Linked DNA regions of Stegostoma tigrinum. The protein of the gene in region 2 interacts with the protein of the main gene of each other region in a biochemical or structural test. Links are inferred from orthologs where the notes say so. Each region holds a gene or a part of one and is shown on either strand. Other genes may lie near its edges. The genes, in order: homeobox protein SIX3 and nr4a3.

Region 1 (8,365 bases), on a different chromosome or scaffold from region 2:
CCGGTAGCAGGAAACCCAGCGTTCACCTTTCACCTCCTCCTCCTCCTCCCAGCAACTTCAGCCACCCTCGCACCACCGCCAGCTCCAGACCCCCTCCCCCGCCCCCACAAACAAAAACTGCTGGGTTTGCAGGGCTAGGACGTACATCTTTGTTCAATTCATTAGAAGTAACGGATTGACATAAGGTAAATCTACGGTAAAGCGCCTTTATTTCTTGCCTATGGAGCGACCTCATTAAATATCGCTAACAAGGCGTGCAAATCTCCTGATTGGACAGTCCTCTTGCAACACTCTGTCCCTTGCAGGGCGTGCACTTAATAAAGGCCACATGGAAAATAACTGGCAAGAAATTCCAAGTGTCCTTACAAACAGACTAGGAAGTCTTTCAACACACAATCTGATGCCTGCCGCCCTTCTCACTATCAACTGTGCATCCGGCGCTCAACTGAGGCAGCGACCGGTCGATTGAAACAGTTGTTTCAGCTGACACAGTTGTTGAAACTGCGAGAACAAATGGTTCCTTCTAACTCCCTAATATTTCCTTGTTTACATCCTTAAGCGTTCTTACACCACTGTCAACATATTAAGATTCAAATTGCAAATACCCTCACAGTTTTTTTTACGTTTTGCAGAGCGAACAATTCATTCTTTCCAACCTGTTCGCTTGGCGTATCCGCGTGATTATATTTAAACTATGACCAACTCTTAATGCAAACTTCGAGAAGCCAGCGGATTTGTAATGTTCACACACAGATCCTTCACTGTGATATATTGACGGGGGGTTGGGGGGTGGGGAAGACTGGTCAAGTTTGCATAGTTCCGGCGGTTAAAACTTCACGTCATTACCCCTTGGTCCAGATAGACCAGCGCAATTTCAAATTGGAACTTATCGTCCTCAATTCATAAGGGACGGTAAACGCCTCTGATGTTTAACTGTTTTTTGTTGAATCTTAGTGGATTAACATTAATGGCGCAGGTGGGGAGGTGGAATTGGTTTGCACTTCATTGGAACGACTTGCTGTAGACCCCAAATTTCCGAATACTGTGCTATTCACATCCTTAATTTGAACGTTTATGCAGAGAAAGAAACTCGGAATGGAAGAGAGAGCTGTCATGCACTTAACTACGCGACTACTTCCTGATTACGTAAAAGTCAGTGTGAAGTAAACCAGTACCCTCTTTGAACAATATATAAAGAAACGGTTAACAACGCCAGATAATAAATAAGATCTATGATTCTATCTCTAATATGAGGGCTACAAATTTTCAATATCATTCGAGTTTATTGATGCTCGTTTTTGGAGAAATTATATGCTCCATTTCGGTCTCCATTTAAATTAAAATAATTTGGTTGCATTTGAGCGGGTTCTTATCTGACTGCTTGTTTTTAATCAATCTCAGGTGCAAAGGCGATCTGATTTATCTGTGAAATTTACAATCCCATGGCCCAAAAGAATGAAGCCCATATAAATCCATGCAAACTATTGCTTCTAACCGAATATCATGTATACAGTTAACTCAGTTAAATCATGACGCAGCTACTGTAATACGAATGGATCAGGTACAATAAAATCAACAATGCAAGCAAAACTAAATAAAATCATGTACGCAATTCACTTCAGCATTGAGGATGGAGGACAGACTGTATTGGCAGTCGATAAATCTGAGCTGTTCGTGCCCCGTCTTGGCAATGAATATAGCGTCAAGCAAAAAGGCCCAGCGGAGCTCACATTTAACCGGCCACCTTAAAGAGACAAGGTCAACGCAGGAGGAAAGAGTAGAGGAAACAGTAGTAGAGGATGTAAAACAAAATGGAAATTTAACAAGTAACGCCAAACAAAACTGAACAAAGGCGAAAGTAAAGGGTCGAATCTATTTGCTACATCAATACCGATAATGGCGACATGACAATACCAAAAATAATCACCAATGAATAAGCCAATTCCCCACCTTGCAAGGGGTAACTAAAACGTCTCCGAAAGCATTACGTTATATATTGGATTAGAGAAGAGAACAACATAGAATAAGTTCAATCTTTGCAGCAGATTTATTAATAGTTAACATATTCTAAGTCAAATTAACCGACCCAACTGATTAAACTCATAAACGGCTTACTTTATGTATACAGAGCCAACATTATATGAACTGGCCCACACTTAGGTATCTTTTTCATGTGTAAACTTGCACGGTTGATCAAACAACGCTGTATTATAACGTTCCATGTAAATCAGTTAAATCTGAAAATGGTTTGAGATTTTTCACAATCCAACTTTAATCATACGTTATGCAAAGCAGTGAGACACAACGGCCTCAACAAAAGCGGAAATCATTCCAATAAAACAGAAACTTACAGGAGCCTGAAAGGCTTCTCCGGGGAAAGAGACCTGGACCTTTCCGGATGCTGATCTGTCACTTTGTATAATTGCAGCATTTCTTAATAATTGTGATTTTTGTTTCGCTATTGCTTTCTTTTCGGGGAGGATACAGTTGCACGAGCCGGACAGGGCTCAGAGCTTTGAATGAAGCTGTTTCATAGACGGTCACTGCTCCAAACGGCAGCGGCCAGCTGCCCGTCATTAAAAAGCCATTTACACCCTGTACTCTTCACACAAAGATTGAGCGAATAATTATGTGCTTGTAGCTTTACTATGTGAATGTCTCTCGAATAGGCTCTGAAAACAGCGCACATCATTGCTTTTATTCCTAGCACCTGCATTTGTATATACTATATAGACATCTATGTTACAGAGAGAGAAGGAATCATATTGTACATTTTCATCTTTTTCCTTTGTTTTGCGCGGGGCAGAAAATAAATGGCAACACCTACCATTCAAACTGATTTCTGTTCAGATACATTGATGACTGCCCGTAAGACTGTAGGATAGAATTTACTAGGAGTCCTCTTTTTAAAGGTGCTCATCTGTGGTGAGTGAAATTTCTGAAGCTTCCCGTATACCTGAAAAAAAGAAACAAATACATAAATGTAGATTGCCGCGGACTTCACAGGGTTAACCTATAGGGATATTAATCCAACATTTTAGAAGCATTTTCCTAAACTTTCCTTTCTCTCTTTTGTTTTGCGAAGCAATGAACGAAAATTAAAGTGATTATAAAAGTAGAGATTATGCTGCTAGAAGCTTGCCTCTTTCTATGTTTTCTCTGAATGAAACAATTTAGGGCATTTAAATGGGCGTAGATGATACTTTTTAATAGAAATCTACAGCGAATGTGTAATAGAGCATCGCCGTTTCCAGTTGAACAACCTTCCCAACTGGACCTATTCATGTGCCACTTGGAATTACTTCATGCGGAGTGCGCTATGACAGGACCGCAAACAGTTTGCAGTCCATTAAAGAACCCATACCACCCATTAGCGTTATTATCTTTGTGCACAGCAAATTCGCTCTCTGTTTCCCTTTTTAATTGCAATATCTTTTTTCACCGGGACCTGGAAAGCAGATTGGGTACATAACCGTTCGCCTCGCGATTTTTTTTCGAAATCCATTGGAATGTGGAAGAGACCAGAGAAGGAAAAAAGTTTTGAATTCTTCAATGATTTTTTTTACCCCGTAGAAAGGCGGCTTAGGATAATTATTTCAGCTTTATTGAGGGCAGATTAGTTGAAGTCTGGATGCTGCGTTTCAATACGCGTTGTACAATCCGGTACAATGTCTGTATTGTTCGCTACTGTGTGTGAACCCATTCAAAATATACACTTTTTAACACCAAGCAAAGTCGTGTCTAAATATACACAGTAAGGCTGGAAAGACATCCATGACCCGTACAAATCTTTGTAAATCACACTTCCATAGTTACAGAAGCCAAACAAAAAAGCCACCGGCTCAAGATGTTGATTAAACCTTCTTAAAGGCGAACATACCTAATGGTAGAATACAGTTGCACGTTAGCAACGGCCAGCAGAGCTCCCAGCACCAGGACCGATGGAATAAAAAAAATTAAAACGCAACGCGTTATTCCAGCCACTGAAAGCCAATGATTCAAACTGAAATAGTCTTTTTTTCTGGAAGAAGGGATATAAATTAACTTCTACCTGCAGTCTATCCACGTCCGGTCCATGGATCCCCAAATAGCCCTATCTGTGCGAAGTCTTTAACTCAAGCTGCAATGATGCACAGCCAGTGCCATGACGATGTACAGTGTTATTACTGCACGCTACACTTCAAATGGGCTTCGGATTGGCAATTATGCTATTAATTAACAAGAGTTATGGTCACGGAGAAAGCGCAGTGCTGAAGGCAGATTAAAAAATCTCCTTATACAAACACAGTCATGACATGTATATGGGTCTAATGATCTCATTTTTCCTTTATTCCCCAGCCCTATTAATGCTCATACCGGCAGAATGAAGTGAAACTACGTGCAAATCATGTCTAAACTGTCTCAGTGAGGAGCCCTCGATTCCACCGTGTCTTTTAGGCTGTCCCATTTACTTTCGCCCCGTCTTCCAACCTTAACAAGGTTCGTTAAGATCGCGGTAATATTTCCCATCCTCTAATTACTCGTCCCACTTAGCAAATCAGAGCGCGGAGGCTTTCACATTTGAACTTTTCAAGAGGTAGGTGGGCGACGCTGAGATTCATTTCAGATAACCCCCACGCAGTGCAAAAGTGGTGAAAGCCTCTACGTTCTGCTGGTTGATTGGCACGTTTGACAGTGATTGACAGCGGCGCCATGGCAACGCTACAACGACACCGCCAAGACCAATAGAAAAAGCGAAAAAAAAACCAGTGCTCCACACAGTATTTTGGGGATATAATATGAGGAAGTGTGACACTAGGCGATTTCGTTGCATCTGACACGTTTTTGTGTTTTTTTTTAATATTAAAAATCACCAAGTCAGTCCATGGTGTTCAGGTCCCAGTTCGAGCTGTATAGCGCCTTCCCCCTTCTACCAAACTCAGCCGAGCGCGCTTTTCTCCTCTTAGCCAGCTCCCGGCCCCAAGAAGAGTTGTCAATGTTCCAGCTACCGACCATCAATTTCACTCCGGAGCAAGTGGCCAGCGTCTGTGAGACGCTGGAGGAGACGGGCGACATCGAGAGATTGGGACGCTTTCTCTGGTCTTTACCTGTGGCGCCGGGGGCATGCGAGGCGATCAACAAGCACGAATCGATCCTCCGAGCCCGGGCGGTCGTGGCCTTCCACACGGGCAACTTCCGAGACTTGTACCACATCCTGGAGAACCACAAGTTCACCAAGGAGTCCCACGGCAAGCTGCAGGCGATGTGGCTCGAAGCGCACTACCAGGAGGCCGAGAAGTTGAGGGGTCGCCCTCTGGGACCAGTCGACAAGTACCGTGTCCGCAAGAAGTTCCCCCTGCCCAGGACCATTTGGGACGGCGAGCAAAAAACTCACTGTTTCAAGGAGAGGACGCGCAGCTTGTTGCGAGAGTGGTACTTGCAGGACCCATACCCAAACCCTTCCAAAAAAAGGGAACTGGCCCAAGCAACCGGTCTGACCCCGACACAAGTGGGAAATTGGTTTAAAAACCGCAGGCAGAGAGACAGAGCGGCGGCCGCCAAAAACAGGTCGGTGGGTTTTTTTTCCAGGTTACCCTTCTGCCAACTACTCAAATTGGCATGTAAATATTAAAGAAACTCAGGAAACCTTCATCAAAACGCAGTAAATAAAATCACGAGATAAAACGTTGTTTAAATGTTGCACAGCATTTTTTATGAATAAAGTAACATGCTCATCCAGAATGCTGACTGAAACAAAATAAAATCTCAGGGCAAACGTTTTAAGCAATTCAGCAAATGAACAAAATTACAGTGTAATGGTCAATATTGGGAAGGTGTTACTGGACGGTGTAAGAATCTTTTTTAAGAAATATTCGAAGTATCAGTTATAAAATAGGATCACAACTGACCACAGATTCAACAGTATAAATTCCATTAAACGATCACCAATCGCAATTTCATGAAAACAACATCTATAAAAAAACTTCTGTAAAATAACCCCAATTTGTGAAAGAAGCTCAAATTAAAGACAGTCTAACTAATAGTACAATTTACTGGAATCAATGAGAGAAAGTGATGCCTTTACTCACTATAGTGATGGGTAACGAGATAATTATTTGGACAAAATTTAACTTAAATACATTAAATGTATTTTTGTTTGGTTCAGAAACAGACTCAAGGTTTCCTGTAATGTCAATGGGCATAAATGTGCCTGGTTTTATGAAATGCTTTCATTTGTAGCCAAGAGAAATTGAACTATCAGAGAATGTGGAGTAACTTCCGGGAGACTGCAAATTCCTGCTTTAGGTAAAAGGACACACAAATCAACAATTGTTTACTCTCTCAAACCAAAGTAAGCACATTTGAATTGAGATGAATAACACGATCATCTTGCGCTCAGTCATTGAAAAATATGCAAACGCTATATTTCGCACCATGAATTGAGAAGTCCCATCCTGAATACAATGCTAGACCAGTCCACGACAATTGAAGTTCTTTGGATATTTGACTGAAGTTTATGTGCCAATGAGTTTGTCAATACTACTTTAAGCTTCTGAAAAGTTATTGGGTACCCACCTCAATATTTGAGATACCTTAACTCTTCAAATACGATAAAGACGGCGTACTTGGCGGGGGTTCAAACCAATAAAGGACATTATTTACTTTGCAGGCGATAGCAATATCTTTTTATCCAAAGTAAACACATACTGTTTGACTTGCTAACATTCAAAGTCTCTCTAAGCAATTCAAGTTAACATGGTAAATATCGCCAGAGTACAGTTTAAGCACAGGAATTGGGAATAACTTGAAGCATCGTTTTAGCAAGCGGGCTGCAATAAGATGCACCGATAAGACCGCATTCTAACTTGTCTTTCGAGGAGCACTTTCCCCAGCAGCAATACAATGAAACGCGCGCTAAACTTGAAGACAATACAGAGTGCAATTGTTACCAACTAAATACAGATTTCGGTTCGGTCAGTTTCTGAACATTATGCTAAGTGAAACCGACAAACAAATTGCAACAACAATGCTGATTGAACGGCCGTATCTGATATGTGAACTCCACCAAATTTTAAACAATTACTATTTTATTATTCTAAAAAAAGCTATTCGTGCCCATGGAACTCCCGATTATTGCAATTTTGCTGCATATTTAACGATGTTTAGTTTTTCAACAGTACAAGGTTTAAATTGCTTTTTAATAACTTTATTTGTTTCAGTGATTTCTTGGTCTTCCAAAGTAACGATCCATGAGGAATATTTAATAATTCTGTTTTGATTTGTGAATCCCTACCTCCCTCCCTCCTCAACTCTCTTTCTTTTGTTTGTCTCGGACAGGCTGCAACATCAGGCAGTGGGACAGAGCGGGGTTTGTACGCTTTCGGAGCCGGGCTGCCCTGCTCACAGCGCGGCGGAATCTCCGTCCACAGCCGCCAGCCCTACTACCAGCGTGTCGAGCATGACAGAGCGAGCCGAGACGGCCACGTCCATTCTCTCGGTAACCTCTAGCGACAGTGAATGTGATGTATGATACAAAAACAAAACAAACTCTTAATGCATTCACGAAGGACTATGGACCTGAGATTTAAAAAAAAGACATTTAATGAACATTTTTAAGAAAAAGAGACAAACAAAAAAACACATTCGTGAAGGAAAAAAAGTGACAGTTTAAAAAAAAATCAAATCTAAGACAAGCACGTCTGATCCAGCGCTTTCCATGGAGCCACCCGACTTGCATGATGTATTTTATATCTGGGAAAGTAATAATCTACGTTAATATTTTTTACAAGGATCTACAAGGAAGAGGGAATGAGAGAATCTTCGTCGCCTTTGTTGCTCTCTATAGTCCGAGTGCTGGTCAGACCCCCGAAGCCAGGCTGAGAGTCGTTTTTCTGTTCCGCAGACAATCATTTTTCGTAAGCACCTTTTTCTACACTTCTGTTACTGCCTGTGTGGGTACTGGTTATGTGGAAGAATAGTTATGACTGTAACAGATTTTTATTTTTTATTTCAAAATTTTATATGAATTATGTATATCTAATGACGCGATCATTCTCCCAGTTTGTAATATATGTGTAGAAATGCCTGTATATGATATTGCTTTTTTTTCTTTCTTTCTGTCTCGATTACAGACTCAGTGTTCTTGCATATTGTGTCAAACGTCTGACGAAAGTACTAGGTTCTTAAGAAAGTGGGGAGGGTGGGGCGATATCCAACTAGATAAATCTAGTGCGATGTAATTTTATGCAAAGTGCTATTTTGAGTATCTTCAGCAACTACGAAGTTCTATTATATCTCCCGAGTTTATGTAGGGCGCTTATTAGTCACTGTTTCTCCAACTGTGTGTTTATCTATATGTAAAAAACTTTCTAAATCAAAATATAGT
Region 2 (8,756 bases):
CTCATGTTGTGCATAAGAAGTGAGTTCTGGAAGAACACTTTTCTGTTGGTGATTAAAGCTTAGTTAAGATAACGAACAAATTCTTATAGAAGAACATTACAACAATGCCCTCAAAGCTGCAATAACTACCTCCGCTCCAACCCCAACCTCACCATCAAACCCGCAGACAAGGGAGGCGCAGTGGTAGTATGGCGCACTGACCTCTAAATCGCCGAGGCCAAACGCCAACTCTCCGACACCTCCTCCTACCGTCCCCTTGATCAGGACCCCACCCCCGAGCACCAAACCATCATCTCCAACACCATTCATGACGGCATGACCTCAGGGGATCTCCCACCCACAGCCTCCAACCTCATTATTCCCCAACCCTGCACGGCCTGTTTCTATCTCCTTCCCAAAATCCACAAACCTGCCTGCCCCAGTCGACCCATTGTCTCAGCCTGTTCCTGCCCCACCGAACTCATCTCCACCTATCTGGACACCATTTTCTCCCCTTTGGTCCAGGAACTCCCTACGTACGTCCGTGACACCACCCACGCCCTCCACCTCTTCCAGAACCTCCAATTCCCTGGCCCCCAACACCTCATTTTCATCATGGACGTCCAGTCCCTATACACCCGTATTCCACATGCAGATGGCCTCAAGGCCCTCTGATTCTTCCTGTCCCGCAGGCCCGACCAGTCCCCCTCCACCGACACTCTCATCCGCCTAGCTGAACTCGTCCTCACCCTCAACAACTTCTCTTTTGATTCCTCCCACTTCCTACAAAGGGGGTGGCCATGGGCACCCGCATGGGCCCCATATATGCCTGCCTCTTTGTAGGTTACGTGGAACAGTTCCTCTTCCTCGCCTACACAGGCCCCAAACCCCACCTCTTCCTCCGTTACATTGATGACTGTATTGGTGCCGCCTCTTGCTCCCCAGAAGAGCTCAAACAGTTCATCCACTTCACCAACATCTTCCACCCCAACCTTCAGTTCACCTGGGCCATCTCCAGCACATCCCTCACCTTCCTGGACCTCTCAGTCTCCATCTCAGGCAACCAGCTTGTAACCGATGCCCATTTCAAGTCCACCGACTCCCACAGCTACCTAGAATACACCTCCTCCCACCCACCCTCCTGCAAAAATTCCATCCCCTATTCCTCCGCCTCCGCCGCATCCGCTCCCACGGTGAGGCATTCCACTCCCGGACATCCCAGATGTCCAAGTTCTTCAAGGACCGCAGCTTTCCCCCCACAGTGGTCGAGAACGCCCTTGACCGCGTCTCCCGCAACACAACCCTCACACCCCGCCCCCGCCACAACCGCCCAAAGATGATCCCCCTCATTCTCACACACCACCCCACCAACCTCCGGATACAACGCATCATCCTCCGACACTTCCGCCATCTACAATCCGACCCCACCACTCAAGCCATTTCTCCATCCCCACCCTTGTCTGCTTTCCAGAGAGACCACTCTCTCTGTGACTCCCTTGTTCGCTCCACACTGCCCTCCAACCCCACCACACCCAGCACCTTCCCCTGCAACCGCAGGAAATGCTACACTTGCCCCCACACCTCCTCCCTCACCCCACCCCAGGCCCCAAGATAACTTTCCATATTAAGCAGAGGTTCACCTGCACATCTGCCAATGTGGTATACTATATCCATTGTACCCGGTGTGGCTTCCTCTACATTGTGGAAACCAAGCGGAGGCTTGGGGACCGCTCTGCAGAACACCTCCGCTCGGTTCGCAATAAACAACTGCACCTCCCAGTCGCGAACCATTTCAACTCCCCCTCCCATTTTTTAGATGACAAGTCCATCATGGGCCTCCTGCAGTGCCACAATGATGCCACCCGAAGGTTGCAGGAACAGCAACTCATATTCTGCTTGGGAACCCTGCAGCCCAATGGTATCAATGTGGACTTCACCAGCTTCAAAATCTCCCCTTCCCCCAACGCATCCCAAAACCAGCCCAGTTCGTCCCCTCCCACCGCACTACACAACCAACCCAGCTCTTCTCCTCCACCCACTGCATCCCAAAACCAGCCCAGCCTGTCTCTGCCTCCCTAACCTGTTCTTCCTCTCACCCATCCCTTCCTCCCACCCCAAGCCGCACCTCAATTTCCTACCTACTAATCTCATGCCACCTCCTTGACCTGTCCGTCTTTCCTGGACTGACCTATCCCCTCCCTACCTATACTCTCCTCTCCACCTATCTTCTTTTCTCTGCATCTTCGGTCCGCCTCCCCCTCTCTCCCTATTTATTCCAGAATCTTCACCCCATCCCCCTCTCTGAAGAAGGGTCTAGGCCCGAAACGTCAGCTTTTGTGCTCCTGAGATGTTGCTTGGCCTGCTGTGTTCATCCAGCTTCACACTTTATTATCTTGGATTCTCCAGCATCTGCAGTTCCCATTATCTCATAACTACAGACAACTTGGTAATGCTGAAATACGGACATAGTCCTGTATGCAAGATGTGGGGAGTACCAGGAGTCAACGTCGCTGCTGCTGGCTCTACTTCCACAAAATAGATCAATAACTAATTAATTATCATAGATCGTAGAATCTCTAGTGCGGAAACAGGCCCTTTGGCCCAATGAGTCCATACTGACCCTCAGAGCACCCTACCCAGACCCATCCCCCTATAACCCACGGAATCTACACATCCCTGAACGTCATGGGCAATTTAGCATGGTCAATCCACCTAGCCTGCACATCTTTGGACTGTGGGAGGAAACTGGAGCACCCGGAGGAAACGCACAGATGATGTGAATGTACAAACTCCACACAGACAGCTGCCCAAAGGTGGGATCAAACCCAGGTCCCTGGTGCTGTGAGGCAGCAGTGCTAACCACTGAACCACTATGCCACCCATAATTAAATCTGAATGTGATTTTGTTAGGAAAGATCTTGTGGGACAAGTTCAAAGTAGGGCACTCAGCTGAGAGGTTAAAATTTGAAATCAAAACAGAAGCCTTCGCAGATTACACCTTGTTTGAAAAGAAAGAAAAAATATCTCACCTCAATTTATGAGGTGAATATTATTCTTGCAGAAATTGTGCATTTTCTGTTTTCAATCCTATCTTGGAATAGTGATTTTTAATCATTTGGTGCACATCAAAACTGGTACAATTTTCAGATAATCTTTCTACACTCCAAGTGACTACACTTCACCGGGCAGTTCTTTAGCTGCAAAGCACTTGAAGACATCCACAGGTCTTACAACAAATCTTAAATCATTTACACTAACCTAACAGTGTTACAATCATTAACTTTTCAGCATGACGTGAACTTTCTTATTCTGTAAGAGTGTTATGTAACTGCTCACATATGACTGCACGTGACCTTATATTTTTCTACTAACATGTTGTTGGTTGTCATCCATACCAAAAATCAGCAGGAAAAGAAAGCAAATAAAACTTAAATAGAAAATAAAAACAAATTATCCAACTCAGAAAATTACTGCAATATACTTACATTTAGGTATGATCATGATTGATGTCATTTGAACCACTTAGACAAGCAGCTTGCTGCTGCTCTCACGCCTCCAAAGAGAGTTCGGAATATAAAAGCAGAATTTATCATTTAAAGCTCAATACTGCTCATCTCTTCACCACACTGTTGAAATCTTGCCTTGCGGCAATCTGTACTAAATGAAGTGCCAAACTGTGTTGGCAATAGAAAGCAGTGACAAACTGTTTTGTTGGCTTTATCCATCAAGACATCCTATGGAAACTATACTCCTAGTTTATTAAGAAACATGTTTGGTGTTTTCTTAGTTCTGATGCTAGGAGCACATCTAGTGACATTCATTTTACTTTCCAAAACGTTCCCAAGGTATAAAAGTGGAATAGGCATACAATTATATTGAAATGCATTAGTTGTGCAACTTTTACACATGAAAAAATTGCAAGCATTTGTACTTTTTCAACAGTTTATTTGCGGATTTATTATTCATAAGTGCTGCAAACAGATCACTAGAGCAAGTCGCATAAATAGTGGGTTCAGAAATATAATGCTTCTTACTGGGGTTCATCTGTAGGGAAAGGGAAAGAAAAGCGTTTTTAAAATAATCTTTATAATAAAGACTACAACAAGCTGATCAGAATAAAACACTCGAGCGTTATACTCACCACAAAAATCTACAGCAGTTTTATACACACACGTGTGCAGTTTTTAGCCTGATGTAGAGCACATTTTGTAAAGAGATTATTTCTCCTTTAGGCCGTTCAGTGGGGAAAATACCATTCTTTTAATGTGGGGTGGATTTTTTTAAAATCAGGAGTAAAGTTTGTATAATGTAAACATTTATGTAAAATTGTAATTCCCAGAATAAAGGTCTAAACTCTGTTTTTGGAACGAAGGCCGGAACTAACCTCGTGCAGACTGCGTGCCTGCGTCATCAGACGTCTCCTGATTTTGAACACGCTCCTTTACGTAATCCGCGCGTGTGCGTAATAGGAACGTTCCCTTCCGTCTGCCTATTTATAAAGTGGAACAAGGGTTCACCACCTCCCTCCCTCCGGATCACTCATTCACCTGCCAATAGCCTCAGGCGCTGCGGTAAAGCTGCCAAACCGCGACGCTTCCTGAATAACACTCCCCACGAATTGGTCAACCGCTTAATGTAATAATGGAATTAAAACACAAACACTTTTTTTTCCAAACAAAAAATTTCACTTCAAAACAAAAAGCGGAACATCCCATGAAGCAACATCTAGAACGTAGTAAATCTCCACAGCATTTGAAAAAAATACGTAAGGCGTTAGTGCGTAATAAATTTGTGAAAGCAAAGGCGTTTTGGCAAAGTTACAAGAATGTGTCTATTGTTCAAATAATTAAATGGGTGGAATCTAAAACTTTAACATTCAATAAATTCCCCAATGTAAGATTTATTCCAACTTCCGTTTTCCAATTGCTTTCAAAAATAGGTGCATAGGTTTCCCAGCATTGAGACCAAGCTAATTATGTTTCAATAGTAGATATACTTCTGTAATAAAATGATAAAAACTGAACGAAGCATAATAACAAAAAGGGACGCGATAAATAAACATCAAACTGTACTACCGTTTAAATCCAAACACTCACATTTCCAAGTATTGTACGAGAATTCGGTTATCATAATGAAATTAACATAATCATTATTCCACTAGTCGCTGCAATCTGTAATTAGGTTACGTTAAAAAAAGTATTTCTGAACATTAACAAAACGAGATTGCTACGACTAAAAATACCTATCAACAACTATATTTGGTTTCACTGGATCACAAAATAGTTCCTAAAATAAACGGTACGCCCCAGAAATGAATGAGATCTGTGTTATCTCAATCGATGGATTGGCCCAGAGTTGCTAAATTTAGCTCCTGCTTGCGTCAATGACGTGCGTCAGCGGGGCGCTCTCACGCGCACAAGTTCCAGACCGCCCCCTCCCCGGCCGCGCCTAACTTCCCGCGTTCCTATTGGTCCACAATCACGGGGAGAGGGACCGAGGGGTGTGGTCGTGACGATCGCAGAGGGGAAGGGGCGTGGTGTTCCATCGCCAATGGCGCGAGACGATTGGGCGTCCAGATGCAATGACGCGCCGACGCGGGGTTCATAAATGACAATAAAACAGAGAGCGGAGAGCGAAGCGCACTGTTCTCTTTACGCTGTCTACCACTTGTGAGCGACCACGCCGCGGCTGTACACGCACGAGCACGGGGCGCGCGACCAAGAGCACAGCCCGAGACTGGGAGAAGAGCAGACACAATAAAAGCCAGCTGACGTGCCGTGCCGCCGCGTGACGTGACGGCCCGGCAGCGTCACAATTGACGTCGCCTGCATTCCAGCCGCTCTATGGAGATACCGGCGATCGTCCAATAGGAGAGTAGCTCTTGCCAATCTCCCCACCCACCTTCCCTTAAACATAAATGACGTTCACAAAGTGAGGAATCTGTTATCTGTCTGCACATAAACAAAGGCACATTGCAATCGGAGGAGAGACCTACAAATAGAAGGAGGGCTAAAGAAGACTTTCTCGCACTTTTCCTCCATTGATGAACTCGCATTAAGAGGAAGGATCCGAATCTGCACTACAACTAAATCATTTACCGGGAGTGATATTTTAAAGACAAGTTTCTCTGTACAATATCCATGATTTGGACTGGACGCCTCTACGCGGCTTGGACGGCTATTTGATTATATGTAAAAACGGAACCGTCACAGCAATCAAGTACGTATCAATCAGTTACTCACTGGACATCATGAAAGTTACAATGGGTATGCTCTCGAACCAGTGACTACAATTCAATGAGCTATAGTGATGTTTTGTGTGAACGCTGGTTGGAACATGCTTCAGAACTTGTGCTTTGATGCCTGTTCCTTGTGTCTTGAGAATTTATGGGTTAATCAGCGGCTTTGAGTTGTGTGACAATTGGAGATCAGCGGGTATTAAGGTATTTCTGGTAGTTGTCATGGTAATGTAATACTGCAGGCGCTGTGCTTGCAATGATGTGGTGAATAGATGCGATTTGTCTTGCACTTGTCTGGATGTATAATTAGCTACGTTCGAGTGAAAGTGTATAGTTATTTAGTGTCCATTTGACTTCACTGCAGTCGCATTTTGAAGGGGGTATGCTACTGAGTATGTTTTTAAGTTGAAATGCAGCGCGTTGGAATGGTATTAGTGTTGATTATCCGTCTGCACGTCTGTTCGCGATCCAAGCTAGGGATATTCGGAGTTTCAGTTAAGAAATAACCACGTCTAATTGCGCACTCTGATGACCTAACACGTGTGATCATTTAAGATGCTGGACCTAGTCTTGGCTTAAAATGCATTTTTGCAATTCTTTTATTAATAGTTTCACTTTCAGAAGCGAATCTGTTTTACTTTTTGTTCAGTAATCATCAGTAGTAGAGAGTGCGACACGTTCTCATACGTACATGTGTGTAACTGTGTACCTAGGTATTTACAATGGAATTTTCAACAGAATTGCTTAAAAGTGCGTTCGCACTTTAGTCGTGGAACGGGAATGTGCTCCGCGCGGGAGAGTAACAGTTCAAGCCCAAAATTGCCAGTGGAATGTATAAACCTCACTGTTCTGAGGCGGCGCCGAGCGAGGGGTGACTTGACACCGGCTAGTTTGTAAATTTGGGAAAGTTCTGACCACGGTCACAAGTCGATTTCGAAGGGTGATATCTGCTGAGATTTCTGTGAACAAAACCTCGCCGTAGCAAATTCTTACCTCTCTATAGTAAACTATAATCTTTCATTCCATCTTTCACTTAACCATTGCGGCGATTTTGACATGTTCCTGTGAAATTACAAAAATATTTCCTTTTTAGTGGTAAGGTGTCTGATATATGGCGTCTCCAATAATTGTCTGTACTGCCCTAACTAGGTTCGATCCTGACTTGTATAGCTGGTGCCAACAAGTGTTGCTGTCGAAACATCCAGTGCTCAGTGCATTGTGTCGCTTTAATATCATTAAAGCGTATCTCTTTTTCGTAATTTTCTTTATCTACCCCGTACTGTCATGGGCGATGAATTCCGACTTGAGTTGTCGCCGAAAGTGGTTGAGAGGAGAGTGGTTTTCTTCAATAAATTCACACTAAATTAAAACTCCCCACAGTTGATGTTCTGTCTGACTGTGTGTGGAAGATAGGGCGGCCGGTAATAAGGCGGATGTTTAAAGAGACATCGCATGTTCTCTAGGTAACCAGCTGATTTTGAGCATTCACCCCTCAGCGGGAATAATGTGCAAACGAGTTAACTGCGGAAGCTAAGCAACTTGGTTGTCAAATGTAGCCTTGCAAAACATTAGTTTTAATTAAAAGCGTGAGTCCACACAAGAGATCTTAATACTTAGACCACTTCTAAAAGTGAAACGGAAAGATATTCGGAAAACAGGTCTTTCCCTCTTGGTGCAAGATGTAAAAGTGTAAAGATGACCACGACACAGTGTAAACAAGAACTCGGCACTTCTGCAGGTTTAGGCTGTTTCTTCCCCAGCCCCTCCCTGTTTCTGTTCAGTGGAACCCCCGGGAGTGAAGTGGCTGTGACCATTTCTTTCCGATGGCAGGGACAGAGTTGTCCGAAAACGCCTTCTCTCTGTTTCCTACCTGACTCAACGCCAGAATAAAGCTCCGAAGTGTGTCTCGGATTATGAACGTCCGGTTAACTGTGACATTGTAGAACTGCATTTTCCAAGTGTAAATATAAACTTTCATGTTTGCGGGGAGTGGGGTACCCGAGATTAAAGGCAGCTGTTTTAGCCACGATCTCCAACTGGGTTATGACTAGTAGATCATATCACGTCTTATAAATGTCACAATAAAGGGGGCAGAGGATCATGACTTAATTCCAAATCTAAAACAATTTAATGTTGATTGTGAGGTAGCACCGTTTGAGCATTTTTAGGAAAGATCTGATCTACAAGCAACAGTTCAATGGAGTTTTCACTATGCCAAAACCTTCACACCGTTTTGAGGTTAATACCATTTCTGGGGAGTTAAAGTAACTTTATATAAAGTTTTTATCCCCCGAGTGGCAGACGGATTAAATGCATTTCAGAGGGGGCGCTGCAGCCCAACTGCTGGACTCCTTGAATTGGGCAAATTATAGCGCAAATGAATTGATCCGCCTTGAGCGTGCATTAGTAGAGCGCCAGGTGATCTCAAAGCATGTGGGCAAGTCCCGGTGTCCATCTTGACATCATGTGGGGCAAGTGTCATTGAACCTAATACAAGTGTGAATTGTCAAGACTCCGGGCAGTCCCGGAGCGCCTCCGA

The links.
Region 1: the proteins of nr4a3 (region 2) and homeobox protein SIX3 form a complex in vitro, tested with the Homo sapiens proteins (3 studies listed by BioGRID). The link is inferred for Stegostoma tigrinum from reciprocal best matches to the Homo sapiens genes NR4A3 and SIX3.

Annotation. Positions count from the first base shown.
Region 1 is NC_081362.1:70,385,506-70,393,870, reverse strand, and holds the start of homeobox protein SIX3, read left to right. Parts: upstream 1-4,772; 5' UTR 4,773-4,864; coding exon 4,865-5,547; intron 5,548-7,317; coding exon 7,318-7,510; 3' UTR 7,511-8,365. UniProt on the Homo sapiens protein: Transcriptional regulator which can act as both a transcriptional repressor and activator by binding a ATTA homeodomain core recognition sequence on these target genes.
Region 2 is NC_081355.1:90,009,262-90,018,017, reverse strand, and holds the start of nr4a3 (nuclear receptor subfamily 4 group A member 3), read left to right. Parts: upstream 1-5,567; 5' UTR 5,568-6,198; intron 6,199-6,600; exon of another isoform or gene 6,601-6,609; intron 6,610-8,756. UniProt on the Homo sapiens protein: Transcriptional activator that binds to regulatory elements in promoter regions in a cell- and response element (target)-specific manner.